4 linked regions of the Pelodiscus sinensis genome follow. The protein of the gene in region 1 interacts with the protein of each later gene in a pairwise test. Links are inferred from orthologs where the notes say so. Each region holds a gene or a part of one and is shown in the gene's direction. Other genes may lie near its edges.

Region 1 (7,606 bases):
ACGGTGGCAGCCGGGCCCCAGGCAGCCTCCCGGTGCGCTCCAGCAGCCCTTCCCCCCGCCAGTGCCCTGCGAGCCATTGGTTCCCCCGCGTTTCCCTCTGCCCCATCGCCACGGTCCCCTCAGGCTCGCTCGGCACGGTCCCCGGGACCGTCGCGTCCCCTTCCTCCTCAATGGGGCCCCGCTGGTTTCATGCCTGCAGGCTTCATAGGCTCCAGAAACCGGACACTGCGGGGCTTCCCCCAGGCAACCGGCAGGTGTCCGACCTGGCACCTTCCCCCCTGCAGCCTGTCCAGCCTGGCACCTTCTCCTGCAGTCGGCGGGCATCTGGCCTGGTGCCTTCTCCTGCAGCCAGCGGGCATCTAGCCTGGCACCTTCCCCCCCTGCAGCCCATCCAGCCTGGCACATTTCCCTGGAGCCGGTGGGCATCCGACCTGGCACCTTCCTCCCCTGCAGCCCATCCAGCCTGGCACATTTCCCTGCAGCCAGTGGGCATCCGACCTGGCACCTTCCTCCCCTGCAGCCCATCCAGCCTGGCACATTTCCCTGCAGCCGGTGGGCATCCGACCTGGCACCTTCCTCCCCTGCAGCCCATCCAGCCTGGCACATTTCCCTGCAGCCGGTGGGCATCCGACCTGGCACCTTCCCCCCCTGCAGCCCGTCCAGCCTGGCACATTTCCCTGCAGCCGGTGGGCATCCGACCTGGCACCTTCCCTCCTGCTGCCCGTCTGGCCTGGCACCTTCCTACCTGCAGCCGGTGGGCGTTGTGCATGACTGCGGCTACCGTGGAAGCGCCCCAGGCCAGAACTGCCGTGTTCGGTCAGACACCCATGCCTGCCCCTTTCTGGCTGTGAATTGCCCAGCGGCCTGTGCCCGGGCCCAGCCGTCAGGGCTCCAGGGTCGCTCCCCCAAGGAGGGTGGAGAGAGCAGAAGGGGCCTGCCAGCCTCCCCCCGTGGGGCAGAGCAGCTAGTGGGAATGGCTCTAAGAGCCCCAGGAACCAAGCAGGGATTTGGTGGGTGAGGGGAACGAGGGCGCAGCCTCTGCTGTGCTGGGGGTAGGAAGGAGCCAGGCAGCTAGTGTGTGTCTGCCCCGCTCCCTTCAAATCAGCAATGGGGCCGTCTGCTTCCCCTCCCCCTGCCTCCCTGCAACACCAAGCGGGGGGGGGGGGGGGGGGCGGAGGGGGGGAGAGCTGCACTTTGCATCTTCTGGGCACCAGCTCCTTCAGCCTCCCAATGCCCAAGTGAGGGGCTTGAAGTAATTAATATAAAACAATTAAGAGGCTGCTTGTTGCCTTTAGCAGCGCGGAGACCCAGGGAGGAGCCAGCGGCTGGTTCGTGTTCCCGACGCCGTTTCTCTGCTGGTCTCCCAGAACTTCAGCAAGGTACGTTGGGTTTGGTCCCGAGGCATGCTGGGAACTCACCTGGCCTCCAGCTAGTGAAGCACTTACCCCCTAACGAGTGGCCCAGGGGTCAGCGGTGCTGCCTGCAGGCAGATAGCGAACCCTCCACCCCAGTGCTTTGCCAGAGCGCTTGATCCCTCGCCCACGTGAGCCCTGTTCCACCGCTGGGGAAACCGAGGCACGGCGTGGCGCTGGACCACGACAAAGGCCACGTGGCGAGTCTGGGGCATGGTCTGGAATGGGGTCCTCGGGGCCAGTGCTCTGTGGCCCACACCTGGGGTCATTTTCCGCGGTGCCTCGGCCTCCTCCCTCCCCGTGCATTGACACCACGGCCCTGAGGCTGTGTTGGAGCTGGACCGCGCTGTTCCCTGTTTTACCTCCTACCTCTGATTCCCGGGCACCCCGCACAATGGGCCGCGGACAGAGAGAGCCCACAGCTGCAGGGTGTTGGGTATTGTGCCAGGGGATGCCTGTCCCAGAGCACCAGCCTGGCCTCCGCGGGCTAGCGGGGAGTTGGCCTGCCCCAGGTGGATTCCACACGCTGGCTGGAGCAGCAACGGGACTCAGGGTGACCTCCCGGGCTGGGGAGGAACCTCAGTTGGAGGGAGGGTCACTTCCCTGCAGGGGCAATGGAGCCCGGCTCCCAGGACAGCTTTCCTCCCGCCCCGAGCACACATTTGGGGGGAAATTTTCAGCCCAAGCTTTGGTTCAATTTCGACCCCTACAATTGTACAAATAATTGTGCAAATAATCCCCTGGACAAAACACTGAGCCAGCAGTGCAGGGGCAGCGTTGAGACCAAGGAAGGGGTGATGTGTGGGCCCGGCCGGGTACTCAGCGGCCCTGGGGACATTAGGGGGCAAGGCGAGGCCAGCTTTGGAGCAGCCGGCCCTTACAAGAATCAGGGCCTGGCATGGGGCTGGGGGGGGCAGCGTGACACGGAGCTGGTGGCGGGTGGCTCAGAATTGGGGGGGCACAGAACTCCCTGGGGGGGAGCGTGACACAGAATTGGGGGGGCGGAGCATGGAACGATCTGGGCGACTGTGACGTGCAACGGGGGGGATATGGCAATGGGAGGGGTCACGCCCGGCCCACTCTCGCCGGATCGGCCCATGCCGGGTGTCGGCGCGGCCGGCAGGGGGCGCTGCGGGAGCGGGCGAACTACAGCTCCCAGCAGCCCCCGCGGCCGGAAGCGTAGGTGACGCTGTTGCTAGGAGAAGCGGGGGCCGGGCCTTTAACCGCCGGAGAGCGCGAGCGGGTCAGTGCCGGGGGCGCTGTGTGGACCCCGCGCTGGGAGGGGCGGGGGGGGCCGCGCTGCGGGGGGCGGGGGAGCCGGGCTGTGGGGGGGGCGCGCTGTGAGGGGCGGGGGAGCCGGGCTGTGGGGGGGGCGCGCTGTGAGGGGCGGGGGGGCCGCGCTGTGGGGGGGGGCTGTGCTGTGAGGGGCGGGGGGGCCGCGCTGTGGGGGGGGGCTGTGCTGTGAGGGGCGGGGGGGGCCGCGCTGTGGGGGGGGGGGCGCTGTGAGGGGCGGGGGGGGCCGCGCTGTGGGGGGGGCTGTGCTGTGAGGGGCGGGGGGGCCGCGCTGTGGGGGGGGCTGTGCTGTGAGGGGCGGGGGGGGCCGCGCTGTGGGGGGTGGGCGCTGTGCTGGGAGGGGCGGGGGGGCCGCGCTGTGGGGGCGCTGTGCTGGGAGGGGCGGGGGGGCCGCGCTGTGGGGGGGGGGCTGTGCTGGGAGGGGCGGGGGGGCCGCGCTGTGGGGGGGGGGCTGTGCTGTGAGGGGCGGGGGGGGCCGCGCTGTGGGGGGGGGGCTGTGCTGTGAGGGGCGGGGGGGGCCGCGCTGTGGGGGGGCGCTGTGCTGGGAGGGGCGGGGGGGCCGCGCTGTGGGGGGGGGGGCTGTGCTGGGAGGGGCGGGGGGGCCGCGCTGTGGGGGGGGGGGGCTGTGCTGTGAGGGGCGGGGGGGCCGCGCTGTGGGGGGGGGGCTGTGCTGGGAGGGGCGGGGGGGGCCGCGCTGTGGGGGGGGCGCTGTGCTGTGAGGGGCGGGGGGGCCGCGCTGTGGGGGGGGCGCTGTGCTGTGAGGGGCGGGGGGGCCGCGCTGTGGGGGGGGCGCTGTGCTGGGAGGGGGCGGGGGGGCTGCGCTGTGGGGGGGCGCTGTGCTGGGAGGGGCGGGGGGGCCGCGCTGTGGGGGGGGGGCGCTGTGCTGTGAGGGGCGGGGGGGGCCGCGCTGTGGGGGGGGGCTGCGCTGTGGGGGGGGCTGTGCTGGGAGGGGCGGGGGGGCCGCGCTGTGGGGGGGGGGCTGTGCTGGGAGGGGCGGGGGGGCCGCGCTGTGGGGGGGCGCTGTGCTGGGAGGGGCGGGGGGGCCGCTTGGACACCGAAAGGGGTGGGAGAGGGCCCCCTGGCAGGGGCCCCACCTCTCCTAATTGCTTATCCTCCCTAGGCTCCACGCTCATCCCCCTTCCCTGAGCTGCTTTCTGACGGCCTGGGGCCTGCTCCTGCTTTCCATGAAGCTGGGGAAATTTCTGCCCCTGAGGTGGATGGGTGCAGGCTTGGCTTCCTGTGCGATACAGTGCCCTCCCCGCTGGCTCTGAAGCTGCCCTGCCTCTCCCAGGGGGAGGGCTAATGCCAGCAGCCCCACATGGGCCCTTCTCTCTGATCTGCTGCCAGCCCATCCCGCGCTCCAGGTGGGGAAGTCACCCGGCCTCCTTTGGAAGCCTGGTTGCGCGGCTAGGCCAGGCAGCAAATACTCCATGTGCTCTAACCCTGCGGCAAGAGAATAGAAAGGGGAAGCTTGGCTAGTCTGCGGTGGGTCTTTGAGTTCCCTCGGGAGCCGGCTGCTGCTATCACAGCCCTCCGATTGCTTTGACACTCCCTCCAAAGTCCACGGCTGTGTCTAGACTGCACCCCTTTTGCGGAAAAGGGATGCAGATTAGACACAGTGCAATTGCAAATGAAGCAGTGATTTAAATCTCCCCCGCTTCATTTGCATGAACATGGCTGCCGCTTTTTTCCAGCTCGGGGCTTTGCTGGCAAAAAGCGCCAGTCTAGACGGGGATCTTTCGGAAAATAAAGCCTTTTCCAAAAGATCCCTTATCCCTGATTTATCCCTGGGTGTGTTTTTCTAGGGATTAGCTTGGTCGAGAGACCTTGCTGGGAGGGGCAGGACTGCCAGTCCGACCCCACAGGCCAAGGGTTAGAAAGTTCATCTTGCAGAACTGGACCAGGATGCCAGAGTAGGAGCATCCACAGCTGGGGCTGCTCTAGAACAGCTCTGTAACTGTCCCTGCATTTATCCCCTCTGCAGTAGCCCCTAGTGGGGGGGCGATAATTAGCTGTCTGCTAATGGTTCTCATTCTCTCAAGAGCCATACTGCTGACAGGCAGGCTTAGGCGGATTAGCCGTTCGCGTCATAGACCCTCCCATCCCTGCTCCATATCAATAATTCATCAGCTTGTAAGTGGAATCAAGGGCTCTGTTTCTCCCTGGTGCGCTGCTGTGATCTCCCTGTACATCACACCCCAGTGGGGCTGAGATGCGGGAGAAAAAGATCTTCCCGCTGGATGGACGGACGGACGGACGGCCTGTCTGTCCCAATGGCTGAGCTGTCCAAACGCTGCAGGTCAGGGACCCTGTGGACCTGCAGCTCTCCTGATGTCTCAGGGGGTTGATGCTGCTCCACTTGCCCAATTTATTGTGATTTTTGGAGTAGGGAGTGAGTCTCTGGGGCAAGAGCGTGTGAGCCCAGCAGGGAGACGGGTGAGGGGAGATGCTATAAGCACAGCCATGTTGGCTCAGACCAATGGTCTCTCTACCCAGTGTCCCATTGTCCAACAGTGGCCAATACCAGGTGCGTCAGAGGGAAAGAACAGAACTAGATCAGTTGACTGAGTGACCCGTCCTGTTGCCTGCTCCTAGCTCGGCAGGTACTGCAGCAAACGGGGGCGCTCGGGGGCAGAGGGGCAGCCCTGGTCATGGAGGCCTGCAGCTTGATCCATGTCTAGACGGATGGGATCCCTTGGCCTGCAGGGTGACAATGTTCTCTCTAGCGGGATGTCGCCCCAGCGAAGAGCACTGGCCCCGACGTATTTAAAATCTTCACCGTGGCTGGGGAACGGTTCCCCAGAAAACACTATCTGGTTTCTGTCCCCCATGGCAGCTGCAGAGCCTGGCCGAGATGTCTGAGGGGCCTTCCAGGATCTCGGGGCCCATCCCTCCCGACCCCACACTCTTCCCGGACTATTACAAACGCCCCCTGTCAGGTGAGAGCCAGCGATGCATGGATGGGGTCCTGCATAATCGTGGGTGGCTAGTGCAGGTGAAGGCCTTCCCTTCCCTAGCCTCTGTTGGCTGCACAGTTCCTGGATCTGTGGAGGGGCAGCTCTCCCCCAAAGGGTGTGGAATGGCCCTGCAGAGACACTCGGCTCCTTTGAGGCCCTGAGCGCTCTCAGCTCCCATCGCCTCCAGTGCCAGGAGAGGCTGATGTGAGGAGTAGGAAGTGGGGGGATGTCAATATCTGTTAAACATCCCTCTATCCAGGGTGGGGGCACCGGGGGGGGAGCAAAGGGGAGGTGCCGCATGCCTTGACTCGTGCTGTCTCTCTCTAGCTCGAGGGAGGCTGGAAGGAAATGCCTTGAAGCTCGACTTCCTCTCTGGCCCGCTGGCCCCCGATCCCAGCCTGTATCCCACGTGTTACAGTGCCCGCCCTCCCCCACGTATCCGCCCCAATGGCCAGGACATCCTGGAGAAGGGGCAGATGGGGACAGTCGGGATCTTGCTGAAGCTGGAGGGGGTCTCTCTCCACAGGGAGCCGCCCCTGAAAAGTAGGTGCAATTGAGCAGGTGGGGCTGACGGGCAGGATAGAATGAAGGCTTGAACTGGTGCAGAGGCAAGGGTTTAGGATGGGGATTTGTGTGGGGCCTCACCCTGACTCCGGCCTGGCGTATGGAAAACGTGGGAGTGAGCCTGTGGAACTCCCTGCCATATGATGGAGGCCAAGAGCCAGGTAGATCCCAGGTGGTTTTCCTGGTACGTGGCTAATGGGAACAGCTCTGGGGAGTGCCTGGGATAGGCAGAGAACTTGAGAACTGCCCAGGGGAAGGTTAAAGGGTGACTTGGTTGCAGTCTCTAGTTACCTACATGGGAACAAATGGGCTTGTCAGTGTAGCAGGAAATCCAGTGGCTGGAAGATGAAGCCAGAGGGAGTTGGGGAGGAAGGTATAAATTTGTCCCCAGGGAGAGTAATTAGCCTTTGGAACAACCACCCGAGGGTAGAATCCACCACGGGTGAGTCTTAACTCAAAGGTGGCTGTTTTCGAGCAGCTGCTCTTGGAGTTACTCCAGCAAAGCCAGTGTCTTGGTGTGCTAACAAGGGGCTCTGGGGGTAGGGATCCGGCTGGCACACAGGGAGGGGATCCGCTTGCTGCTGTTTGCAGTGAAGGGAGCCGCTTCGCTGAGAGAGGCCCTGGTCATGGTGCCAAGGGGCTCAGCAGGGCCTGCTGGTGAAAGCCGTGTCTCGCCGGGGCGTGCAGGGCGCGAGTGCAAGGACCACGAGAAGGAGAATGTGAGGCGGATGCGGGAGATCCAGAGGAGGTGCAAGGAGAAGGAGCTGGCGCGGGAGCACAGCCAGCCCAAACCCATGAAGGCCCTGTGGAAATCCCAGAAGTATGAGAATGTGGAGTCCAAGGTGAAGGCCAAACTGCAGTACCTGCACACAGCGGCATCACAAAAAGACTAGAGAGAATTCCTTTGTCTCGGGGGCATTCTAGTCCCTGCCGCGGCCGGCTGCAGCGTGAAGCCGGGCCTGGCTGGGGCCACTCGACACACTGTGTGTGATGTGCTAAATGCACCGGCACGCCCATGGATTCCTCTCTCGTGCTACAGTGTCGCTCCATTGAACGCAGTGGAGATTTCCCCAGGCAGGGTCGTGTCTCCCCTGCCAGCTGAGTTCCCTGCCTGACTCCTGCCTGGAGGAGACGTTCCCCGCACGTGCAGCGGTAGAGTCTGGGGTCGCCCCTCGGCCCTGGAGCTCCTGCTATGTGGTTTGCCTTTCGCAGGAGAGCTCTCCCCCGCCCAACCCAGAGTCTCAGAACTTCCTGAGGGCATATTCCCGCTGCGGCTCCGGGGTCCAGCCGCGCCGGTCGCTGTCGCCCAGCCCTGCCATGTCCAGAGCAGTGCCAGACGCAGCAGCTGCAGGAGTGCAGGGCGCAGACGCCAAGGTGAGG
Region 2 (7,725 bases), on another chromosome or scaffold:
ATGCGCTTTGGCAGTGTGGGTGCTCTTTTTCAGAAGAAATTTTTTCACATGATCTCTTCTGGAAACGCTTCTTCCAAAAGAAGCCTCCAGTCTAGACATAGCCAGAATCTCCCAAATCCCTTCCCCATCAGTTCTGGGTTTATATTCCCTGCCTCTCAGCTGTGTTCTGTGGAGGCCATGCCATTCTTGACATTTGTACTGTCTGAACTCTGAGAAAAGAAGCAGGGATTTTTACAGGTCTCTCTGGTTCTGTGGGACATTTAGTGCCAGTATGGTTGTAGAGGCAAGTATCATTGTATGATCCTCACTTTCATTTCCTTTTATATTACTGATTATGCCTTTTCACAAAGGCCTTATTACAAGAATCATAACACCGTACCTTCCATGATCTTCTCTCCTTCATGTCAGTAAGAGGTGCTGCAATGGTGGCAAAGTTTGGCCTTAATCACCCTGTGTTACCTTACCAATCCCAGGAACTGTCTAATGTGCTTCAGGTGATAAAAAGTGCCTCCCTATTCTGCCTGTCCTTGAGTAAATAGATTTGTGTTTTTCTCCTTTTCCTGGAGTATCATATCTCATAATCTATGGGGCCCAGCTGGCACAGTACCTCAAAAATCCCTTGTCATTGTGCTAGTAGTGTGGTTGGGAGCTCACCAATATTAGCTAATAGTCTAAATCCGGAGAACACCAGTGCTATCACCTCCTTTCCTTTCCCCCCCTCTACTTGGACCACTTTCTTAATGGGCCCTTCTTGCATGACCTAACCTCTGCAGTCCATGCTTCCCCCAGTCACATTACATGCAGGGACAAACAGTCTCTCCAGCAAAGCCCAAAGCAGAAGTGCATCCTCCAGTGCTCTCTCCAACATCTGCACTATTGGGTGGGAAGCCCAAAGCACTCAGATAGGTTCATAGATGTCTGAAGCATGTATTCACCATTGTCTGTCCCAAATTTTCCTGCAAATAATAAGGCATTGAGACAGTGCATTGTGTGATGCAGGCCAGTCTTATGCAGCGTCCAGTTATGTACCTGTAGATCTGCATATACAAAATAGAGACTGCAGTGAAACCTCTTTCAAATTCAGGAACTTGATTTGTACTCCAATGGAGGGGTTTTTTTTCCAGTCACCACGTGATAAGAATGTGAGCACAGAAGAAATTTCCTAAGTGTTGGTGTTTATAAAGTAATTGCACATATGTAATTAATTAAGAGTGGTCTGGATAATCACTGCAAGAAGGCGAAGTCAGAAACAGTTAAATATAAGATTGGCAGCTCACTAAAAAAGCACTCAAAACAAATGTTCAATGAAAGTTAGACATTTCTCCTTGCTTCCTTTTTTAATTTTCATCTTTGTCTAACCTGTAAAATAGAGTGATGAAGAAAAATCCACTGACCCCCCAAGCTGTCCCTTATCTTTACATCCTCAGATGTTTGCACACACACGATCCATAAGAGTCCAAACTGAGAGAAAACAAAACTTCTCAGAGGCAGTGAGCCTTGCTCTTTTTATAAACCCTCTTACTGTCGATTAAGTACTATGCCCATCTCCAACTCAACTGAGCATGGAAACAAGGTATATATGCTGGCAAAGGGGCATGTATACACTTCTGCTCAGCTAAGACAGGCATACCCTGATTTTGGGTCTGGTACAGAACCAGCCTATGTGTCTTGAGTACTTCCTTCTTTCAGCAAAGTAGTGGAGAGGGGACATTTTTGTGACTCCACCTCCTTGCTGGCCAGACTAGGTGTCCATGAATGTTCAGAGAAGGGAGGAAAAGAATACAAACTACGCCATTTCAAAGGTGTCTGTAATTTATCTGATTTCCCTTCTTGCTCCTCAGTCCTCTCTCCCTTTCAGAACAAGAGAAGTGGGGTTCATTTCTGCCTCAGTGCTAGTCAGTCCTGGGATAGAGCACCTTATGTATCACTCCCTGTGCTGGGCTATGCCTAAAGCATCATCTAGTCCCTAAGGGCACATCTACACTAGGAAATTATTTTGAAATAACTTCTGAAATAACTAGTTTGAAATAGCATGTCCACACTATAGGGAAACCTCAAAATTAGTCGGAGGCAGGCTCCCTTCATGTGGACACGCTATCTCGACTTAGAGCTCCAGGAAGGACTGGGGAGTAATTCTTTTGAATGACTCTGGGGAGTAGTTATTTCAAAATAGCAGCAGTGGAGCATCCACACTACCACTATTTTGAAATAACTGTTTCAAAAAAAGGACTATTCCTCGTGGAAAGCAGGAGTTGTTATTTCGAAATAACCAGCCCCTTATTTTGAAATAACAGGCTTGGTAATGTGGATGCTCTGCTTGTTATTTTGAAATAAGGGGAGTTCATTCAAAATAACTCCATAGTGTAGACTACGGCTAATTAATCATGAGATCTCAGAGAAATAGGAAAGTTTGCCAGAGATGTGTTACTGCTGGCTAAGCCATCACACACCAACCTTTGCCTCAAAACAAGAAACATTAGCTGACCTTTTAAAATGATAAACTTCTCTCTATGTTTAATCAGCAGCTGAAACATGAAGATATCTAGAAACTAATAAGCTCTTCTCTAATTTACACTAGAGTATTTAATTTTTCACATTCTAGCATGGTTAGGCATCATTTCAGTTTTTATTCATTAAGATGCTTAGAGTATTGGAATCATACCAGCCCTCATGGCAAGACAGCAAAACGACAGCACTTTCTTCAATCAATTGTTAATTGTGAGCTGCACATAAAATTGTCCTGTGCAATGGTTACATTAGAACATCAGTAAGATTATTCCCTCATCTATGAATCATCTAGATCATTCAGGGTTCTTTTAAAGAACTCTCTCATCAGATTCCTCTGAATGGTGATGCAGAGCTGGCATTTTGATACAGAGCTTAAGACTTGCTTTGCACAATTCTTCAGTTTCAGAAGGGAAATTTTAGTTTTCAATTCCTAGTTAAATGGCAGACTGTGGAATCACTCTACTGCCCACACACTCAAACAATGGATATTAGCAGCAGCAGCAGACATTAGTTAATGTGGGTAAAGTATATAGTAACATCTTTAATGGATACTAGGGGGCTGCGCCCCCTGCTCGCTATATTCATCTAGCCCCCCCCTCTCTCTGTCTGGTTTTGCTTTGCTGAGAGCGCCTGTTGATGCTGATGACAGATGATGTCATTCTGTCCCCTGACAGGAAAAACTTTGAGAGAGAGAGAGAGAGAGAGAGAGATGATAATCTAGAGGGTTTTTCTTAATTATATTATTTATCTTCAGATCGTATAAATCTTTCACCTTTTACTTTGGCAAAGTCCCATTGGACCAAATTCTGTTCTCAGATAGCTCTACATCAATATGGAAGGATTTCACGGACTTGACTGAGCAGAATTTTACTGCGGTGCTCAATGGAAATTATCTGAGGAAGGGCTCAGGACCTCAGGATCTGTCACAAGAATGCTACTGTGGTGATTAGGTGCACTTACATAGCGCTGTTCATCAGAGTATTCAAAGTGCACTGCTTTTGAGATGTAGCTGTTGCCAGATTCACTTTACTGTAACAGCAGAAATAAGCAAGATTGTCCTTTACATCATTGTTCCAGTTCTATTTAGATATCCCCTTTGCAGGGTTATACAGGTGCAGCAATTACATGCTGTTTTGAATATGTATCCCACTACGTATAGAGAAGCCTATAAAACACAAGCTGATGGGTAGTTCTTAAGTACTCAATTATGAACAGTGGAAAGTAGGATATCCTGTACATGTTGTCATTTGCCATGAGATATATTGTAAGCTATATAAACATTCTTGGTTGTTAAATATGAATAGTAATTACGTGAACAAAAATCACAGTCTTTGTTTCCATGCCAAGAATATTAGGCTGCATTAGCAGATATTTAAGGCATGCAGGAGAACAATCCGGACTCAGCTTGTAGGGCCAAAGTCTATAGTTCTTACTCAGATATTACTCAGGAAAAACTCCCATTGACTTTCATAGGAATTTACCTGAATAAGGACTAGAATACTGGGAAATAGCTTGTCTTCACTGCACTGCTTGATGTTAATGTCGGGCAGCGATAAATGGTTGTATAGGAGTTCCTGTTGATGATGTACCTACCTGTTGTCCTTTTGTTGCCTCTGAATCTACTTCTGCTGAGTGTTAATCATGGCTTATGTTGCTTGTTCAGGTTTATTCTCTTTTATGTTTTCCATTTTCACCAAACATGGTACAGCTATTTTTCTTCTGTGGTTGGACACACACAGTACATAGAATGCAGAACTTGAATTTCAGCCCAGTTTTAATTAAAACTATTAAACATACTACTGCCACAATGCACAAAAGTTGGCTCATTTGATATGAAATGTTAATCTGTAATTTGATGTCAAAGTGTGCAACTATAATGATCTAATTACTGAGCAGGTGCTGCTCTAGTGAAGTCAATGGAGATGCACCCATTTAGACCCAGGATGAGTTTGGGCCTACAAATCTTTGTGACCTACAACAGGTCTCACGTAAAATAACCAACAAAGATGTGGGTTGAAACAACATCTTGTGTGTAGATTTAGAATTGCTTTAAGGTAATATAGTTTGAATTTCATTATATTACTTAAATATTCAAATTATGACATAACCTGCTTGTAAGCAGGTTAGCTAGCTAGGTTTCCATGTAGATGCCTTATGAGCCATACCTAGCCATGGTTTATCCTCTATTCATGCTGCAGGGTACGAAATTCCTGGGTGCCAACTTGCCTATGGCAACCTAGAATTCTCCAGGGCAGGCTCGCAAAATCTTCACCTACCCTCTGGGACAGGTAATTAAAAAGTGATGTTTTGTTAAGTTATGTTTTCTTTCCAACTTTCCAAGTGATGTCAGTAACTTGTGCCTTTTCTTCATGTCAGCCTTTAGTTGCTTACACCCCAACTGTACAATATTTCTACATCAGGGAAATAGCTGCAAGATCATTTGACATTATTTTAGGTGATTGTCTCATGGCAGCCTGTAGTAATTACTACCAGTGTGTATAAAAGCTGCAATATTTTCAGATTCTTCCCTACTGTTAGGTTAGGTCTACACTACAGTCCTTTGTCAGAAAAAGCTATACAAATTGCGCACCACAATTTGCGTAACTTTTTCCGATTGCTTTTCCGGAAGAGGCTTTTCTGTATTTGGCCCAGTCTAGATGGGGACAAATGGCAGAAAAGCCTCCTCTTTCGGTGGAGCTCTTATCCCTCATAACGAGGTATACAGGGCTCCCCCAAAGAGCACATTTGATCTTCCACACAAAAAAAAAAAAAAGCGGAAGAGCAAATGCATTCCTTGGATGCAGCGGAGTTTTTCCTAGATACCGATGGTATCCCGGAAAAACCCTGCAGTGTAGTCATAGCCTCAATTAATAGCTTTTATTTTAGTGTGATTATGACAAATACATACAAATTTCATCCATTATTGATGCAACAGTAATATGACCAGATTACATTTTTAAATTGCCAATATTTACATATTTCTAGATCTGGTTTTTTGTGTGTTCTTTTACTCTTTGGTCTCCATGAGTCAGGTTCTCTCAAAGCAACAGATGCATAGATGATTAAAAGATATACTGGGGACAGACTTGCATGGAGCAGTCATGAATAATTTTAGCTTGATGCTTCTACGTAGAACATAGTCTAAAGTAAACTAAACTAATGATGTTTTCCATTTTTTCCCCATGCTTGTCTCTCATTTTCTCCTACTATCTTCATGGATTTCTCCTTTGTTCCTTTTGCTGGTATCCACCTAAAAGTTGCAGGTACCTAGAAGTAATACTGTTCACTCCTAAAAAATTTTAACTGGGACAAATATTCAAAGTGGAAAATTCATAAGACAACAAAATAATGGAAGCTTTCTTCAGAGAAATGTTGTGGTTTCCCACACTTACCAAGCTCTTAGTGCAAGAAAAAATATATCTAGGATTCTTCATATACTTCTTGGCATATCATATATGATAGGGTTTAATGAAGATGGGGGAATAACCATTTAATAAATGGACTTCTATGTTTGGTGAATATGTCAAATACTGGGGAAATGGCTTAAATTACATCACTGCAGAGGACTTCTAATTTTACCATGGTCCAAATATGAGAATAACTTTGCTTCAGGGCATCTCTGCTTCCTGTCCTGGCTAATGCAGACAGACTCTCTGTGCAGGAGCTTGCTGTACAGTATTTTTCACACCCACTGATAAATAGGGCTTCATGGGTTTGCCTGAGCATCTGCTGCCAGATGTTAGCCCTTCTGGAACTGTATGGCAATCCACAGCTTGCTAGCCTGCTTATGGACAGCTATTGACCAGTTCCTTGGTACAAATTCTGGTGAGAAGGAGAGTAGGTTTCCTGCCCCACCTTTTCTTCAGTGTATCTACACAGGAGAAGACAGAATGTAACCCTATTCTGAAAAGCCAATAGAGCTGAGTGTGTAGAATAAACCACCCACTGCTCAACTAATAAGTCATGGATTAGAACTGGGAGAACAGTTTTGAACTGATTTCACAATATGCTGAGCAATGTCAGACTTGCTAGAGGTGTACTCATTTAGATTCTTGCAGAATAGGAAACTTGTCAGTTTGCAAGACCTAAAATAGCACAGTGCAGTATATAAAACAGGGAGGTGAGGTTCAAAATAATGAGCTCATGATGACAGTACGTATCTGATTTGCCATAATAGCAAGTTGATCACCTAGCTGAAAATCATTTGCAAATGTCAGCAAACTGAAGATTCTTTTAAATACTCAGCCACACACATTTCATTCAGGTAACATTGGGGCCATTTCTGCACTCAAGTAAGCTTTTACTACTCCCATTCAACTCAATGAGTATAAAGTATATGTACCTGAGAGCCGCATTAGTTCCTGGGGAATCTGAATTACGTTTACAGGGCATAGATTGTTCAGGCTGAATAGTGTTTTTTAACTCACACTTTCGAGCTTTGGTGTTCTTAGTGTCTACAGACTGGGGATATTTATTATTGTGCTTCCAGAAACCTGGCCCAAAAGTCCCTGTTACTCACCTTCTTTCTCTCAGCATACTGTTTGGGTTATAGAACACAACCATTGGGGCTACATTGAGACTGCATCCCTCTATCGACAGAGAGATGTAGTTTAGGCACATTGAAATTGCTAATGAAGCAGGGATTTAAATATCCCGCACCTCATAAAAGAAACCTTCAATGTTTATGCTAAAACAGTTTTTTTGAAAAAAAGTGGCAGTCTAGACACGAATCTGTTGAAAATAAAGCCTTTTTTGACGCATCCTGTAAACCTCATCTTTTTGAGGAATACAGGATCTGTCGAAAAAGGCTTTATTTTCAACAGATTCGTGTCTAGACTGCCGGGGGGAGGGGGTTCAAAAAAAACCTCTGTTTCGAAACAACCCGGCGGCAATGTTTATACTAATGAGGTGCGGGATATTTAAATCCCTGCTTCATTAGCAATTTCGGTGTGCCTAATCTACATCTCTCTGTCAAAAGAGAGGTATAGTCTAGACACACCCTGGATGACAGAAATTGTAGAATGGTACATAACAGTTCTGGAGCAATTGCCAGTAGATTTTCAATATTTACCAATAGTTATCACCCAAGGCATCTAAAATGTCATGCTATTTCCCAATCTAGGCAACAGCCGTATTATCTCTGATCCCATTCTACAGTAACTGTTGGAAGATGTTTACTTTCTAAAGGTTAGCCCTGTATATTCATATTTTGGGTAT
Region 3 (7,923 bases), on another chromosome or scaffold:
TCCTTGGGTACAAGGAGCCAGGCTTTTGGCCTGCAGTGAATATCACCAACACGGAGGAGTGGTTAAAGTCAATGTGATATTTCTTCTCTTTTTAGCATGATTTTAGAAGACAAGTTTAAGAGGAAACTAGATTTTTTAAGAGAAACAGTTACATTAGAAGACAAAGGCACCAAAGCTTAATTGAGTAATTGTGAATAAAAAAGTGTATAATAGTGAACATTGTAGTCACCCAATAGAAAGAAAAGAACTGATGACTGGAGATACTTGGGCTATGTCTACACTGCCCAGTCTTGCGCAAGAACTTGTGCAAGAGCGTGTCCACACTGCCATGTGCTTTTGCGGAAGAGTTGTGCTTTTGTGCAGGAGCATCCATGGCAGTGTGGACGCTGTCTTGTGCAAGAAAGCTCTGATGGCCATTTTAGCCATAGGGCTGTTTTGTGCAAGAAACCCCTGTTGACCGACCACATTGCCTTCTTGCGCAACAGCTCTTTTTTTTATTTGGAGTGATTCTTTGGATGTATAATTTAATAAATATATTTAAAGTAAAAAGTATAATATTTAATAAAAAATTAGCTGTGTCATATGGTGGGGAGATGAAGACTTTAAATTTTGTGAGGTGCCGTGAAACTGGAAAATGCTTTACAGAATTAATGCCTTCATAGAGTTAAAGAATTAGTAACTAAAGAAAAAAATTCAGAGTTACTAGAAATAAAAATATATTTTGCGTTAGAATTAAAGTGTTTCCACCTGCAAACCACGGATTCCCTGTGTGCCTCTCACACACTGGGGCACTGGAGTTCTGCACTTCCCGCTCCTTCCTCTCCCCCTCCCTCCCAGCACTTTCAGAGCACTGCTGTTCAAGCTCTGGGAGGGATGGAGGAGGAGCAGGGTCGGAGCGCAAGTCAGCAGATTCATGGCATTCCAAAAGTGCTGGGAGTGCAGTGGTAGGAGCAGGTAAGTGCAGAGCTGCAGTGCACAAGAGGGACATGGAGGAAGGGGACAGAGTGGGATGTTCACTGACATGGAGGGCCATTCATGCAGCCCACTTACTAATCGTGGTTGCCCATTGCTAGTCTACACTAAAAGTGGCCACAGCACGAGCGCTGAGAGAAATCAGCCCAGGCTCGTATGTAAATCACCTCCACGATGCTCCCAGTGCTATATTCTGGTTCACACTGGCTCTTCACAGTGCTGTAACTTGCTGTGCTTGGAGGTATTTTTTCACACCCCTGAGCCAGAAAATTACAGCACTGTAAAGTGCAATGTAGACTTAGCCTTGGATTTACAAAGGGAACATGAAGAGAAATCAAGTTGGACTATTAAAGTTATCAGAAACCACAATTCATCTAATTTTACCATTTCAGTCTGTTTCTGAGACAAAAAAGCAGGCTCTTTCTAAGCAAAAAAGCAATAATTTTAGACAAGTGACATTTTAAAGAAGATACTTTAGTTGACTGCAAGTAATTATTGTCTGAATTTCTTAGATAAAGAATTTTTCCTCCAGTTGCAGGTCTTTCTGAGAATTTGCCACATCACTCCCAGATGTGTTTTGTTACTTGGAAAATGAGTAGCCAATGCATTATTACTCGGAAGCATAGACCTCAAAACATTTTGTTGTTAGATATTTTCACCAAGCTACAGTACAATTCTGATAAGTTCTTTTGCTGAGCCTCTCTTGTGATAAAGTATTATCAACAAGTTCTGCTGACTGAGAAGATATTCCAGCGCTGTAAGAAAATTTAGCTGTTAATTGCTTACGGCAAAGAATGCAAAACCTGTGATGGTCACTGCACAGTGTATGAACATGTAGAGTATTAATTAAATGTAAAAAAAATGAATTGCTATATGTTGAGATTGTAATTGTACCAAAAAAATCAGGAAATTCAAAATTATTGTTCCACAGCAAACACAGCTTGTTCCCCTTGCACATATCAGGAAACAAATAGTAACTTGAATTGTTTAATATATGTATGTAAAAACTATGAGTAATCATTGTGGTGGGAATCTAGAGTAAATTCCCCTAAGACAATAAACTCTGAATGTGCTGACCTTCAAGTAATTAAAATCTCAACATTGTTTCATTAACATTTACATTAGTTCCCTTGGTTTTGCTCAGTAAGAACATTGCTTGATAAATACCATAAGATCATCAAGCCACCAGTTTTTTAGGTTGTCAAAAACTACTTGAGCATCATTGGTTCTCCATAGATGGAGAATCAGCTATTCAGTATCCCCTTTGATAGCAATGCATACATTGACCAGACATCCTGTTTTTAAAGGTGCAATCCCATATTTAAGTCCTGCAAGTGTCCCAACTTTTTCTTAAAAATGGACACATTATCCTGTATTTTCAGTATCCCACCACCAACAATACTGGCAGCTCCTGCTACTGGCTGGATCCCTGCTTGCCAGCTGCCTGACCATCAGTGAAGTCCAGTGCCTAAGATGGGAGTGGGTGTGCAAGGCAGTGTGGGATAAAGATGCAGCATGGCTGCTCCCCCTGCTGGTCCATCAGCATAGTTCACGCAGAATGTCAGATGTCTGCCAGCAGGGCTCTGTCCCACTTCCTGTCCCATTTCCAGCTGGTACTGGTGGTGAGCTGCTGTGGTTGTGTGCAAGCAGGTACCAGGCAGCAGCTGGTTATGTGTTGCTGCTGCTGCCCACCAACTGGCCTTTTCCAAGTTTCCCCTTTCACTGTTCTCTGCTTTGCCTGCTTTCTCCTGATACTCTTCCATATCTGCAACAGGCGCCATTGCAACAAAACAGGAATTTGTGTATGTCTAAAGAATAAAGTTAAGCTTTAAAATAGCCAAGATGTACATAATTAACACTGAAATGTGTCTGTTGTGGATGCATGTCATCATACCATTCTCTTATGTAAAACATTACTGCTTTAGGAAACCATAAAGTTGATCTACAATTTTAAAATAAAAACAAATCACTGTCACTTTATTACTAGGTAACATGTACCCCAAACACCAATGGTTAAACACTCCTTCAGGTTATTTTCTTTTATAGCATATAGCTTTTCTCGTTTAGCATCTCAAAATACTTCTAAAATGTGTGTGTGTGTGTGTGTGTATACACATATACACACACACACACACATTTATATAATGTATATTTTTATTTATAAACATTTATATAATAAATATAAATAAATAATACTGATCTTCTCAAAATACTAATGGCTGCACCCCCCTAGGCAGATTTCCCAAAGCATTACAAGATTTTATCCTGTGTTCTCATGAACCTTTTCCTCTACTGCTCTTCCTAACACTACATATCTGTTCACCTGGATCTCAGAAGCCTCTTTAAAAGAACTAGCTCAGTAATATTCACATATAGTTTATTTGATCATTTTCTCTGTGAGGGGTTTAGAGTGACCATATTTCTCAAAGTGAAAATGGGATACCACATGGGGCTGATCCACGTCATTTGCCTAAGCCTCTCCTGCCACCATGTGAGGCTGGCCTAAGCTCAAATCCCTTCTCTCCCCACACCTGCCCTTTCTGCTGCCAGAGTGACTTGCCTAAGCCAACTGGTGTGACTGCTAACATGAGCCCATTGTACATGGCTAGTGTCTTCCCTTGCTCTGAATTAGGAGAAGCCTACTCCAATTTTTTGGCAGAACTCAGCATCTGTCCTGTTTGACCTTGCCAACTTATGAGCTGGCAAGATTAAACTGAACAAACGGGGGCCAACAGACATGCTGAGGCCTGGGGCAAGGTGGGGGTGCAGCTCCATGCCCCCAGAAGGGATGTGGCCTCAGGTGCAAGGGACAGGGCTGGGAGCAGCTGGCCTTCAACATAGCCTATGGATCTAGTGCAGTGCACTCCACGCTATGTCTACACTGGCGGGTTGTTCCGCAAGAACATTTTGTGAAGACTTCCTGTGCAAGAAATCTTGAGAAGAACACGTCCACACGGCCATGTGCTTTTGCGCAAGAGATTTGCTTTTGCGCAAGAGCATCCATAGCTGTGTGGACGGTTTCTTGTGCAAGAAAGCTCTGATGGCCATTTTAGCCACATTGCCTTCCTGCACAAGACCTCCTGCGCAAGAAGGCTTACGCCTGTCAGAAAAGAGCGTAGCTGTTATGCAAGAAGCCCTCTCTAACCATGCTGTACTGTAAATCTTGCGAAAGAGCTGGCGGGCAGTGTGGATGCTCTGCGGAAGAACAGCCGTTCTTGCGCACAAGAATCCACCAGTGTAGAAATAGCCAGAGTGATTTAAACAGCCTGGGGCTCCAGCTGCTGTTGCTCCTGTGGTAGTGGCAGTGGTGGCCAAGCGTCCCAAAGCCCAGCAATTCTAAAAACCCTGGGACAATTGCCTCTTTTGCCCCGTCAGCAAGCCTGAAGACAAGTGCCCATTTTTGAAAAAAAAAAAAAAAAAAAAGTCAGAACAGCTAGGCCAGGGCTTACAAAGGGCCTGATACCAAATTATTAGTTGCCTTAGTGATACCATTAGTCAGTGAATAATCACCACTACACGTTCATTATTCAACTAACTTTATTCTTGAAAACAGCTTACGTCAGGGCCCCCATTCTATCCTTTCAGAAACAAGTACAGCAGTCGCTCCCCCTCTCCCTCATTGGAAAAAACACATCAGATTCTTCAAGTCAAAGCAAACCACACCAGCAACACAACAACAAACACAGGGCAGACAAGCACAGGAACTGTTCTCCTCCCCCAAAAGCCTTAGTGTGCTCCAGCCTATTAGCCAACTCCCACGCCTTTGCATCCCTTCCCCCTAAGTTCCCCACCACAGCGCGTCCCAAAGCAGCAAGTCAGTAGCAATCACCCAAATTCCCCCGCTAGAAGCGTCCACCGAAAGCTCCAACCCCCCCCGCTTCGTCGCTCGCTTCGGTGACCAGCTGATCAAATCCCGCCCAGTGTCTAGCTCCGCCTCCCACCCCCGGCTGTGCTGTTTGCTCCTCCTGACCTGCGGGAGCTCGCCTTTGCGCGCTCCCGTGGGCTGTGTGTTTCCTCCCCATCGGTGTCGCCAGGGCGCGCCCGCTGCCCTTGCCCGCCTGCGCTCGGGGCTTTGTTTGTCGGGCCGGGCTGACGGCGCGGGCCGGCGGCAGAGGGGGGCTGTGGGCACGCGCAGAGCAGTGTCTCCTCTTTGGGGTGCGTGGCACAAGCCGTAGGAGGAGGACACAGGTAATTGGCTCCCAGGAGCATTTCACCAGGCAGCTTAATCTGGGGGGCCTGGCGCTGCGTGTGTAGGATTCTTGGAGTTGCTGTGCTGGAGTTAGGATTTGCTCACACGTTGCCTGTGGGGAGACCCTGGGCTGGGCTCCAGTGGGGCATGTGTCTGTTGGATTGTGTGCTGCGAGCAGACCAGGGGGCTGTGTTCACTGCGTCCTGTGCTCAGCAGGACCACGCTCACACACGAGAGGGCTGCACGTGCGCTGTCTTTCCAACAACTCTCTGCCTCTGCTTCCCTGCCCTGCCTTGCCCAGTGCGTTACAGAATTCTGTTTGGGCTGTGGGCACGGGTGGGCCAAGTCAACTGTTTCATAGTGCGCCCGTCACAAAAGATTACTGCTGTCCTTATTAGAGGTAAAGGATATGTGGGCTGTAGCAACTGACCTACTCTCTAACCTCTGGAGGTACTCAGTCCTCCTAGCCGCTTGTGAGGAAACCTGTGTTGTGTCGATTCTGTCCCTGTGAATGCAGGATATCAGTCCCCAGGCGTCTTAATCCAGCCTTCAGATCACCTATATATACAGAGAGAGAGTGGAACCAAAAAAAAGTGACTTGAAGTGTGACATGGTTGTGGAGAGACATTCCAGAAAGTACTAGCTTCATTGGTTAGATATTGGAGGCTCAGAGAGAAGGTCCTTATTCTGAGTATTATGTAACAATTTGCAGGGAGTAGGAGGATGTAAAAGAGCCCTGTGTGCTTATATACCGTCTTTATCTTGATTAGAAGAGATCACTCTGATTCCAAAGGGCCATTAAACTATTCTTCCAGGAGTGAGCTAGATCTGGAAGTAACTCTGGGGCTGGGAGGGTACTGGGACTGGTCAATACAGAATGCGTGAAGTTCCACTGCACCTATATTTTGCAAACTTGCCAGTATATTTTGTAATTTGCGTATAATACTAGTCTCTCCCCACTTTACACAAGAGCATTGTGGGATAGGCCTGTATTACTAAATCTTCATAACTTATACCGCTGTGGTCTCATTCATATTTTATGAAGTTTTAAAATTCAAAATTAAACTAAACCCTAATTGCCAAACCAAGCAATACATTCTGTGATAGTGAGTAACATTAAAAAAAATAAATTTAGTAATGCAGTTCATGCAGATTAGTGAGGTTACACTGAAAGCAAGAAGTGACACACTTTAAGCTCAGGGACAATGATATTGACACTAACAGTCATCACTACTAGTATAGGGACCAGCACTGACTTCACTCTGACAGTCACCCTGGCAGCTGGAAGAGGCAAGCTGTCAAATATACTGGAGAGAGGAGGAGTTAAGTAAGATGTAAATAGAGATCTATAATTTACAGATGGAAAAGGCCTAAAATAATCGGGTATGCAACCCATCTCCTGGCCAACACATGAGTGATTACTATTTTGTATATATTTCTAGTGCTGTGTCTAGTTTAGCTGAAAATGTGTAAGTAATGGGACCACGCTAATAGATCTCACTGCAGAGAAATTTTCCTTGATAAGTCAGACTGAATTTTACCTTTCTAAATTTAATCTGCTATTACTCCCAGCTATCATGCTATATTCTTTCCATGAGTTCTTCTCCGTGCCTGTTTTTTTTTTTTTTAGACCAATCATGTAACTATTTAAAATTACTGCGTCTCAACATAAGATGTGGTGCTGTGAAATTCTGAAATGCATCGTTCAGTGAAGTCTGTGCCAAGCACCATCCATGATTATGCCTTTAATTGTTACTTAGACAATGTATATTTTTAGTTTTCATAAATCCAGAGTTTATAATTTTTATTGCTTTTGCTTGATTTGTTTATTGCTCTTGCCTTCTGCTGCAGGAGGTTGGGAATTTAAATATTTGTCTCAACTGTTACCCATAATTTTATGTAGTCAAATGCATTTGAGTTATATCCCCAGCTCCAGCAGCTCAGAATCACCAGGCTAGGCTGTTCTTGTAGTATTGTATGTGGGTAGGAATCAGTTACATTTGTGGACAAATGACAGCAGTAAAATATATTTCATGGGATCAACCAAAAATACAAAAGCATAGCACATAACACATTAGCTCAAACCTCTGAAGTCTGTGCTGGGGCTTCCTTTCACTTGTGTGGGTTAGCAAACATTTTAAACTCTAAAACCATGGTACGTTCACGTCTTGAATACTGCGTACAAATGTGGTTGCCTCATTTTAAAAAGATGTATTGGCATTGGAAATGGTTCAGAAAAGGGCAACAAAAATGATAAGGAGTTTGGAATGGGTCCCATATGAAGAGAGCTTAAAAAGGCTTGGACTTTTCATCTTAGAAAGAGGAGATTGGGGGGGATATAATAGAGGTCTATAAAATCATGACCGGAATGGAAAAAGTGAATAAGGAAAATTATTTACTTGTTCCCATAACATGAAGTTTTTCTTCATTTAGCACACAGTCAGCCTGTGGAACTCCTTGACAGAGGATGTTGTGACGATCAGGACTTTAACAGGGTTCAAAAACTAGATACGTTCATGGAGGTTAGGTCCATCAATGGCTATTAGCCAGGATGGGTAGGAATGGTGTCTCTAGCCTCTGTTAGTCAGAGACTGGAATGGATGACAGGAGAGCAATTGTGATGATTTCCTTTTGTGTTCATTTCCTTTGGGGCATCTGGCATTGGCTACTGCTGGAAGACAGGATAGTGGGCTTGATGGACCTTTAGTCTGACCAGGTATGGCCATTCTTATGTTCTCATGTTAAAATTAATTTGAAAAATT
Region 4 (7,667 bases), on another chromosome or scaffold:
GTCCCATGTAGCTGATTTGGGCTCAGCTGCCCCAGCCGTGGGGCCAGTGGAATCTGGTCTCCACCCAGACCGTTAGGGCTGGTCCTACCTTTTTCTGTGCGGTGACAGCTGCCAGACTCATCAGGAGAAGAGCGGTGAAAAGCAGGACAGTCTTCATGGTAAAGCTCAGTGACTGAGATGCTACTTGTGCAAGGAAGCGTCGTCTTCTGCCTGCCCTAGCACACAAGCAGAAGCTCTAAGTGTGCCTGTAGCAGAGCATCTGCCAATCAAACCTTGCAAGCTCCCTGCCACGCCTAGACACTGCTAGCACTTGGGCGGCTGTTCAGCATGGCTTTGCTGACACTATGCTCATCATACCACTGATCACCCCCTCCCCCCCCATCCAGCCCCTACCCCAACACAACAGCAAACCAGACAGCTGCACTGGTAAAACCACAGCCTCTCTGTATGGGCAATTCTCCAACCCCGACCGAAACGAGCCAGGGGTTTTGATGCCAGGGGGCTGAGGCGGACAGATTGTAAACTGCACATCTGGACTGGCGGTTAATGGAGTTGGTTCCTGGGGAGGTGGTGATGCTGTGTATGGGGGGGAGGATTGTGAGGGGTTGTGGCATCACAACGGGCTTGGGTTGACTCTCTTGAAGCTGCCGGAAGGGGTTGCAGGAGAGTTTGGCAGCTGGGGTGGGAGTTCTGCAAGGACCCCCGATCACAGGCCAGCTTGTCAGTCTTCTCGTCTCCCTCCATTCCAGGAAGTGCTTGGTCCCCAAAGCACAGGGCCACCTGGGGCTCACACCCTGGAGAGGACGGGGTGGATCTGTACTTTGCCTTGGTTCCCCCGCTCCCGTGCTCAAGTTTTTCTAGAAACCTCCAAACAATCGTAATCGGAGTTTTCACCGAAAGCCATAAAGCAGCCTGGGCTCACTGGGATGTGTGCAAACTTGAGCCAAACTTTCTGCTCTCTTGGCCTGCATGCTGGGTTTGGTAACAAGCCCTCTTCTTCTGCAACAGAAAACTAGAAATAGATTCAACTGCAAAATTCCGATCTAGCTGGCAAGTCCACAACGCTCAGAGGTTCTTTGATCAGGGCCGAGGCCCCTCTCTCTTCAAAACTTTTACAGCTCTACTTTGAAGCCAGCTGATGGTGACAAGCATTTCCTAACTCCCGAATGTGGACAGTTGTACTGAGAAACGGATGCTAGCAAGATGCTAGATTAGATTAGATATCGCACAGTAACATTTCCTTGTAACCTTCAGCGGCAACTACGCAAATCCAGTGAGCTTCCCTGGAGTTTTCACCCGTTTTATACTCCCTTGACTTCAGTGAAGTTACTCCCGATTCACACCGGTGTCAGTAGAATTAGGCCAGCCTCTTCTGTGCCTTTTTAAGGCAGCTTGAAAAAAGCAATTGGCCAAAATATTCCAGACGCAGGGATAAAATAGGCCCATTTATGTGGGATTTCTTTGTGCGTATGAAACATATCAGTGTCTGGAAAGAGAAAGGAGTAAAAGGCAACATCTGAAAGAAACAGAAATGGGAGACTTTGCTGTAGCTATTTTAGATCTCCTTTTTTGGCTAATTTCAGTAAGCAGAAGTGTAGAGATGAAAGTCTGTTGGGGACAGTTCTCAGCCCATGAGAGGCGCGAGTGTGGTAATCTAAAGCTCTTAGCACAAAATCAGCAGGTCAAGTAGGTAAGATTCCTAGCTATTGTCAATCGGCATGGCACCATCGACAGAGCTTGGCCCAATAAAAGATGGGCGAGAAGGGTTCCCCAGAAACAGCATGATGACGACCCAACAGCCACCTTGGATATTTAAAAATCTTTTGTTGATAGAGTTTTTGTAAATGGTACAGCGGATCCGAGAAAACAGGAAGAAAGAAGTGGTCAGAAAAACAAAGTGAGAGAAGGGAAGGAACCATGAAATGACAACTAGAAAGTCTGTTTGCAGCTGAGCGTGGGAGTGCAAAAGTGTTGACAACACCCGGCATAATCAGTTCACAAAGCTGAACACAGCCGTGGGATTTTAAGTTCATCTGTTCTCCACAGGCACGAGTCTGGCGACGCTGCTTACTGGAATGCAGAGCGCCTCATGGAGCAATGTGACTCCAGGTGCTGAGGCTTTAAAATCCCAAAACCATGAGCCTCCCAAGTACACTGCAAGGGCGAGCCAGCCTGAACCCTGCGGTTCGAGTACAGGCCTAGCCCAGAGGGGAGCTGGGCTCTGCCGTGTGCCATTTCCTGGGGCAAGTCGCTTCCCCTCTCAGTGCCCGACTATAGAGGGGGGACTGTTGTTTCCCTGCCACTGTGTGTCGGGATGGGGACACACTGGCCCCATTAACAAGGGGGTTATGCCTCATCCATCCTCTTATATCCCATCGGGGGATCCCTCAGGGACTGCTCCTTTAATGGGAGGCGGGGTTAAGGCCTCCTAGCACTTGATCTGTCCCCAGAGGCCAGGGATTCCCTCAGGCTTCATCCCTTTAGGCAGATATAATAATATGTAGTGGGGGGAGGGGCAGTGGATGGGTAGGTGCAATGGGCTCTTTGGGGAAGGCAGCTAGTGGGACACATGCAGTGGGGGGGCAGTAATATGGGGGGGCAGTTGGAGGGAGAAGTGATCCCAGTGGAGGTGAATGTGGAGATCGGGGGGGCAGTGGTGGGAAGAAGGGGTGCCAGAGCTGGGGGCTGCACGCATGGGGTCCTTGCTTCAGGGACTGTCACCGTCTGTTCAGTAACTCACACCCCCTTTGCATTTTATACAGAGCCAGTAGCAAGGCAGGTGGATGGTTTTCCGCTGATGTGCAGCACTGGTTTTGCATGGGAAGTTGCGCCTAGTTGTAACCAGGGCAACCGCTGCAGACAAGATGGTGGAGCATAGAGCCCAAGAGACCCTTCCAAACGTGGGGATATGTCTGGGGCTGAGAGAGAGGAGGAATCGCTCTTTTGTTGGTCTGGAAGTATGTGCATTAGGGAAATGCACAACAGAGGGACTCCTCTCCTGGGGAACAAGGCAACACAAGCTGGAGCAGTGGAAGAACCTTCTCTCGTCTTGCATGCCTCCCCTCTGCGCAGGCTTGGCAGAATTTGATTTGTATTTTTTGTATAATTTGGACAAATATCAAATTTATTTGAAAGTATCTTTCCATATTAGCCTCATTAGCACCGGCACTACAATTGACAGGTACTCCCCCCTTTTTCTGTTATACATTTTGAGAGTCCTCCCTTTTCTCTCCACTCGGCAACCCCCGAGACTTTGACTCTATTTCAGTGTTCATGGTTGTGGAAAATGGTTGGGGGCTGTTCAGACCAAGAATTTAATTACTGTTGACATTGAGTAGAACAGTCATTAAAACTCACATTGTCCACATCATGCCAGACTATTCAAAGTCAACCTTCCGAAGGCAAAGAATAAGTTCTCGGGCAGTAGGGGGACAGAGTTATCCTTCTTGCCAGGCATGTCTGTGGAGCAGTTACTGATGTCTGTTACTGATGATGTTTACCAATGATGCTTACCGATGGCAGTTACCAATGGAGGTTACCGATGGCGGTTACTGATGATAGTTACCATTGTCGATTACCAATGGCAGTTACCAATGACGGTTACCAATGTCGGTTACCAATGGCAGTTACCAATGTCGGTTACCAATGGCAGTTACTGGTGGCAGTTACCAATGTCGGTTACCGATGACAATTACCGATGTCGGTTACTGATGTCGGTTACCAATGACAGTTACCGATGGCGGTTACCGATGACGGTTACCGATGTTGGTTACCGATGACAGTTACTGATGGCAGTTACCGATGTCGGTTACCGATGACAGTTACCGATGGTGGTTACCGATGACAGTTACCGATGACGGTTACCGATGACAGTTACCGATGGCGGTTACCGATGGCGGTTACCGATGGCGGTTACTGATGGCAGTTACCGATGTCTGTTACCAATGACAGTTACCGATGTCGGTTACCGATGGCAGTTACCAATGTTGGTTACTGATGACAGTTACGATGGCAGTTACCGATGTCGGTTACCGATGGCGGTTACCGATGGCAGTTACTGATGGCAGTTACCGATGTCTGTTACCGATGACAGTTACCGATGTCGGTTACCGATGGCGGTTACCGATGGCGGTTACCGATGACAGTTACCGATGGCAGTTACCGATGTCGGTTACCGATGGCGGTTACCGATGACGGTTACCGATGGCGGTTACCGATGGCGGTTACCGATGGCGGTTACCGATGTCGGTTACCGATGGCAGTTACCGATGTCGGTTACCGATGTCGGTTACCGATGGCAGTTACCGATGATTTGGGGCTCTGGGACGGCAGGAAGACCCCTGTGCAGAGCAGGCAGTGGCGCCTCGGGGCTATCGGCCGTGCCTGCCCTGCGAGTGCTGGGGGGGAGGGCTGAGCTGGGGGGGTTACCCCTCCCTCCCCCTTGGGGGTCCCCACAGCTACTGCCCGTTAGGGGGAGCCCCGAGCCCCGCCTTGTCCCACCAAGGGCCCGGGAAGGTCGGGGGGGCGGATGGGGAAAGGTCAGAGAGAGAGAGAGAGAGAGAGAGAGAGAAAACCGAGCGCGTTGCATGCTGGGACTGGTAGTCTTTTCAGAAGGGGTCGAGCCACGTGACCTTAAACGAGCCAATCAGCTCGCCCGGCCGTCACCGGGGCAACCGCGGCAAACAAAATGGCGTCGCCTGGGTCGAGCCCGCCGGGGGGAGGGTGAGTCCGTTACTAGCCCGAGGCGGGCTGCGGCGCGTCCCTCCCGCCCGTGGGGGCAGCGAGCCACAGACCCCCCCGGCCGGGCCCGTCGGCTTGCGCCGTGAGGCCTTGTGACGTCACTGCGGGGTGCCGGGGGGTCACCGCTGTGCCTGGGGAGTACCTGGGGGGGGTCACTGCCTTGCATGGGGGTGCCTGGGGGGGTCACCACTGTGCTGGGGAGTACCTGGGGGGGTCACTGCCTTGCATGGGGAGTACCTGGGGGGGTCACCACTGTGCTGGGGAGTACCTGGGGGGGGTCACTGCCTTGCATGGGGGTACCTGGGGGGGGGGTCACTGCCTTGCATGGGGGGTACCTGAGGGGGTCACTGCCTTGCATGGGGGTACCTGGGGGGTCACTGCCTTGCATGGGGGTACCTGGGGGGGTCACTGCCTTGCATGGGGGTGCCTGGGGGGTCACTGCCTTGCATGGGGGTACCTGGGGGGGTCACTGCCTTGCATGGGGGGTACCTGAGGGGGTCACTGCCTTGCATGGGGGGCATTGTGGGGGTCACTGCTGTGCCTGGGGTGCTTTTGGCTGTCGCTGTGTTTCCAGGCTGGGGCGGGGATGTCAGCGCAGGGCGGCGGGAGGCCTCCTGTCGCACTGTGGGCGTTTGCGATGTCATTGCGCTTGCGTGCCGGAGTGGGGTGATGTCGTAGGGTGATGGCAGAAGGTCGTGAGTTTGTCCCGCCAGAGCAGCCCGAGGGAAGCGGCAGACTTTGTCTGAGGGCCGTGGGACCCGTCCTCGTTTTCTGTATTTTCAGTGACAGACTAACCCCCTGAGACTTTCTGGCATGAAATGGTGCAGACTGTGGTCACCCTCCTTTTTCCCCTGGAGGCTGCCGCCTGTGTGGAGACCACAGGGCCCAGAATGAAATACCTGAGCGTTGTTTCTATGGGCCTGTCTACTCAGCAGAGACAAACCTGCTGCTAGCCCATGCCATCTGACTTGGGCTCCTGGGGCTCGGGCTGTGGGGCTGTTTCATGGCTGAGAAGATTTCTGGGCTTGGGCTGCAGGACCCTGCATGGTGGGAGGATCCCAGAGCTTTGGCTCCAGCCTCAGCTCCGAAGTCTACCCAGCCAAGCCTCATGAGCTCTGTATGACATGCTAAACTCCTTGGTCTGCTCAACCACCCTGCTCTGAAGGAAACCGCTAAGTGTGTGGTGATAAAATACACCCTGGAGCCGTCTGCTTTTCAACGTGCCCCTCAGTCTTCTCTCCCAAGGCACTTCACTCTGTGTCATCCCGCCGCCTGGCATTGTAACACTGTCTTTGTTCCCTAGGATCTAGAGCTGTCTAAGGTATAACCATGAGTTCTCCTCTTTCCTCCCTGGGAAAGCACCGCAGAGTCCCACTGCAGCTACAGAGTCCAGGGTAAATGAGACATGAGGGCTCTTTCTGCTTTAAGATTTGTGGCCACCCTTGCTTAGTTGTGCAGTTTTGATCCCAGCTGCTTTTGTCCTCACGCTATACGAGGGTTCTTCTTTGGTCTTGATCTTTCAATATTCTGGGTCCCATTGAAGTAAGTACAAGGTAACGACAGTCAGTACCACTCTGGAGTCACTCCGCACCTTGCAGAATTGAGCCCTAAAATCCAGAATTGTGCCATCCTGATTCCAGCTGTGAGCCCTGATTCCACGGTGAGGCCCTAAGTGATCCAGAGCAGTCTCTGCAGTTACGATAGCAAGAATTACCCGGGGCTCTTGGTTCTATGGCCTTGAGGCACAAGCTGGTCCCCAGTTGAGGCCAGAAAGACTATTGCACAATTCTGCGTAGCAACAGTTGGCCGAGTTTGTTGTTTGTCTTCTTTTCACTTTTTCCTTATATGAAGTAGCTTCCAGTGATCTTAATTACTGTTAAGCAACTCCAAATATGTTGTTTGTGTGTGAGCTCACTCATCACAGACAGCAAAGTGGGGGCTTGTTTGATTTATCTGTGTGGTGAACTGGGGAGAAAGTAGAGGTGGATGTATTTCAAGATTATTTTTTATGTAATTTACAAGTCTCTGATACCTAAAACCAATTATGCAGCAGCTAATTAATCGGTCTGCTGTTTGTTTTCTGTATTCCCTATTCTTACATGCAGGAAAAGGACTCTCTCGTTTAAACTGAGTGCCCACAATGGTAAGTAAGGCCTCTCTCTTTCCTTTATGTGTTTTGCATTTAAGTGTTATGTGCTTAGTTCTTTTCTTGTCCTTGATTTCTCTCTCCTTCCCGCATGTGTCAGAAATCAGCTTAGTAAGAGCTAGTTTTCCCAATCCCAGGATTTGTTAGAACATGCAGACTCTCTCAAATGCTTTACAATTCCAAAGCTAGCTGCTTCCCTCATTCTTCCCACACTTGGCACACCAATCCCTCTCATTAACGTTAACAAAATTACAAGTAACATAAATAAGATTTTTAAAATCAATATGATATGAGAGAGAACTAGAACAGTTTTGTCTTTGAAAAACATTAAGCTTTCTAGTTCTCTCTTTTTGCACCGCTGTCTTGTGGCTTTGCTACATGGACTCTGGATGGGTTTGCAAGGCCACAAACACTAATCCTGGCTGCCGTCTCTTTTTTTCTGAAACAAATTCAGTTCCACTGCTCTCCCCTCTCACCCCCAGCAAAAGCTGCTGGAACCTAGCGCCATGGTCTCTGTCTCCCAGTACAGTTTTGTGTTTGATCTTTGTCTGTTTAGAGTGGACCCTCCTCACAGCGTGGACTGTATTATCTTTTGAGTACTGTACTCTCTCTCTATGCTTCGTAATCATCGCTTTGGAAGTCTTTGGGTGGACGAATGGGACCATGTCACACTTCGTACCCCACCCTCTCCTTCCCTAAAGATACATCCCTGCCAATGTTCTCTCTAATCTTTTCCACCCCTGTGCGGGATACTTTTTATGTGAACCAAGGCCTAGGAGTG

What was found.
Region 2: the proteins of ENKD1 (region 1) and BEGAIN interact in binary tests that used the Homo sapiens proteins (3 or more experiments, as listed by UniProt). The two-hybrid records come from large-scale screens. The link is inferred for Pelodiscus sinensis from reciprocal best matches to the Homo sapiens genes ENKD1 and BEGAIN.
Region 3: the proteins of ENKD1 (region 1) and MIPOL1 interact in binary tests that used the Homo sapiens proteins (3 or more experiments, as listed by UniProt). The two-hybrid records come from large-scale screens. The link is inferred for Pelodiscus sinensis from reciprocal best matches to the Homo sapiens genes ENKD1 and MIPOL1.
Region 4: the proteins of ENKD1 (region 1) and UBXN11 interact in binary tests that used the Homo sapiens proteins (3 or more experiments, as listed by UniProt). The two-hybrid records come from large-scale screens. The link is inferred for Pelodiscus sinensis from reciprocal best matches to the Homo sapiens genes ENKD1 and UBXN11.

Annotation. Positions count from the first base shown.
Region 1 is NC_134722.1:46,626,269-46,633,874, reverse strand, and holds the start of ENKD1 (enkurin domain-containing protein 1), read left to right. Parts: upstream 1-4,596; 5' UTR 4,597-5,308; intron 5,309-5,541; 5' UTR 5,542-5,559; coding exon 5,560-5,644; intron 5,645-5,989; coding exon 5,990-6,205; intron 6,206-6,913; coding exon 6,914-7,086; intron 7,087-7,438; coding exon 7,439-7,600; intron 7,601-7,606. UniProt on the Homo sapiens protein: Microtubule-binding protein which regulates microtubule organization and stability. Promotes the stability of astral microtubules and facilitates the proper orientation of the mitotic spindle.
Region 2 is NC_134714.1:23,664,548-23,672,272, forward strand, and holds the start of BEGAIN (brain-enriched guanylate kinase-associated protein), read left to right. Parts: upstream 1-4,710; 5' UTR 4,711-4,796; intron 4,797-7,725. UniProt on the Homo sapiens protein: May sustain the structure of the postsynaptic density (PSD).
Region 3 is NC_134714.1:46,601,386-46,609,308, reverse strand, and holds the start of MIPOL1 (mirror-image polydactyly gene 1 protein), read left to right. Parts: upstream 1-4,922; 5' UTR 4,923-5,160; intron 5,161-7,843; 5' UTR 7,844-7,877; intron 7,878-7,923.
Region 4 is NC_134735.1:1,833,175-1,840,841, reverse strand, and holds the start of UBXN11 (UBX domain-containing protein 11), read left to right. Parts: upstream 1-4,655; 5' UTR 4,656-4,687; coding exon of another isoform or gene 4,688-4,722; intron 4,723-6,043; 5' UTR 6,044-6,069; coding exon 6,070-6,134; intron 6,135-6,510; exon of another isoform or gene 6,511-6,722; intron 6,723-6,845; coding exon 6,846-6,883; intron 6,884-7,667. UniProt on the Homo sapiens protein: May be involved in the reorganization of actin cytoskeleton mediated by RND1, RND2 and RND3. Promotes RHOA activation mediated by GNA12 and GNA13.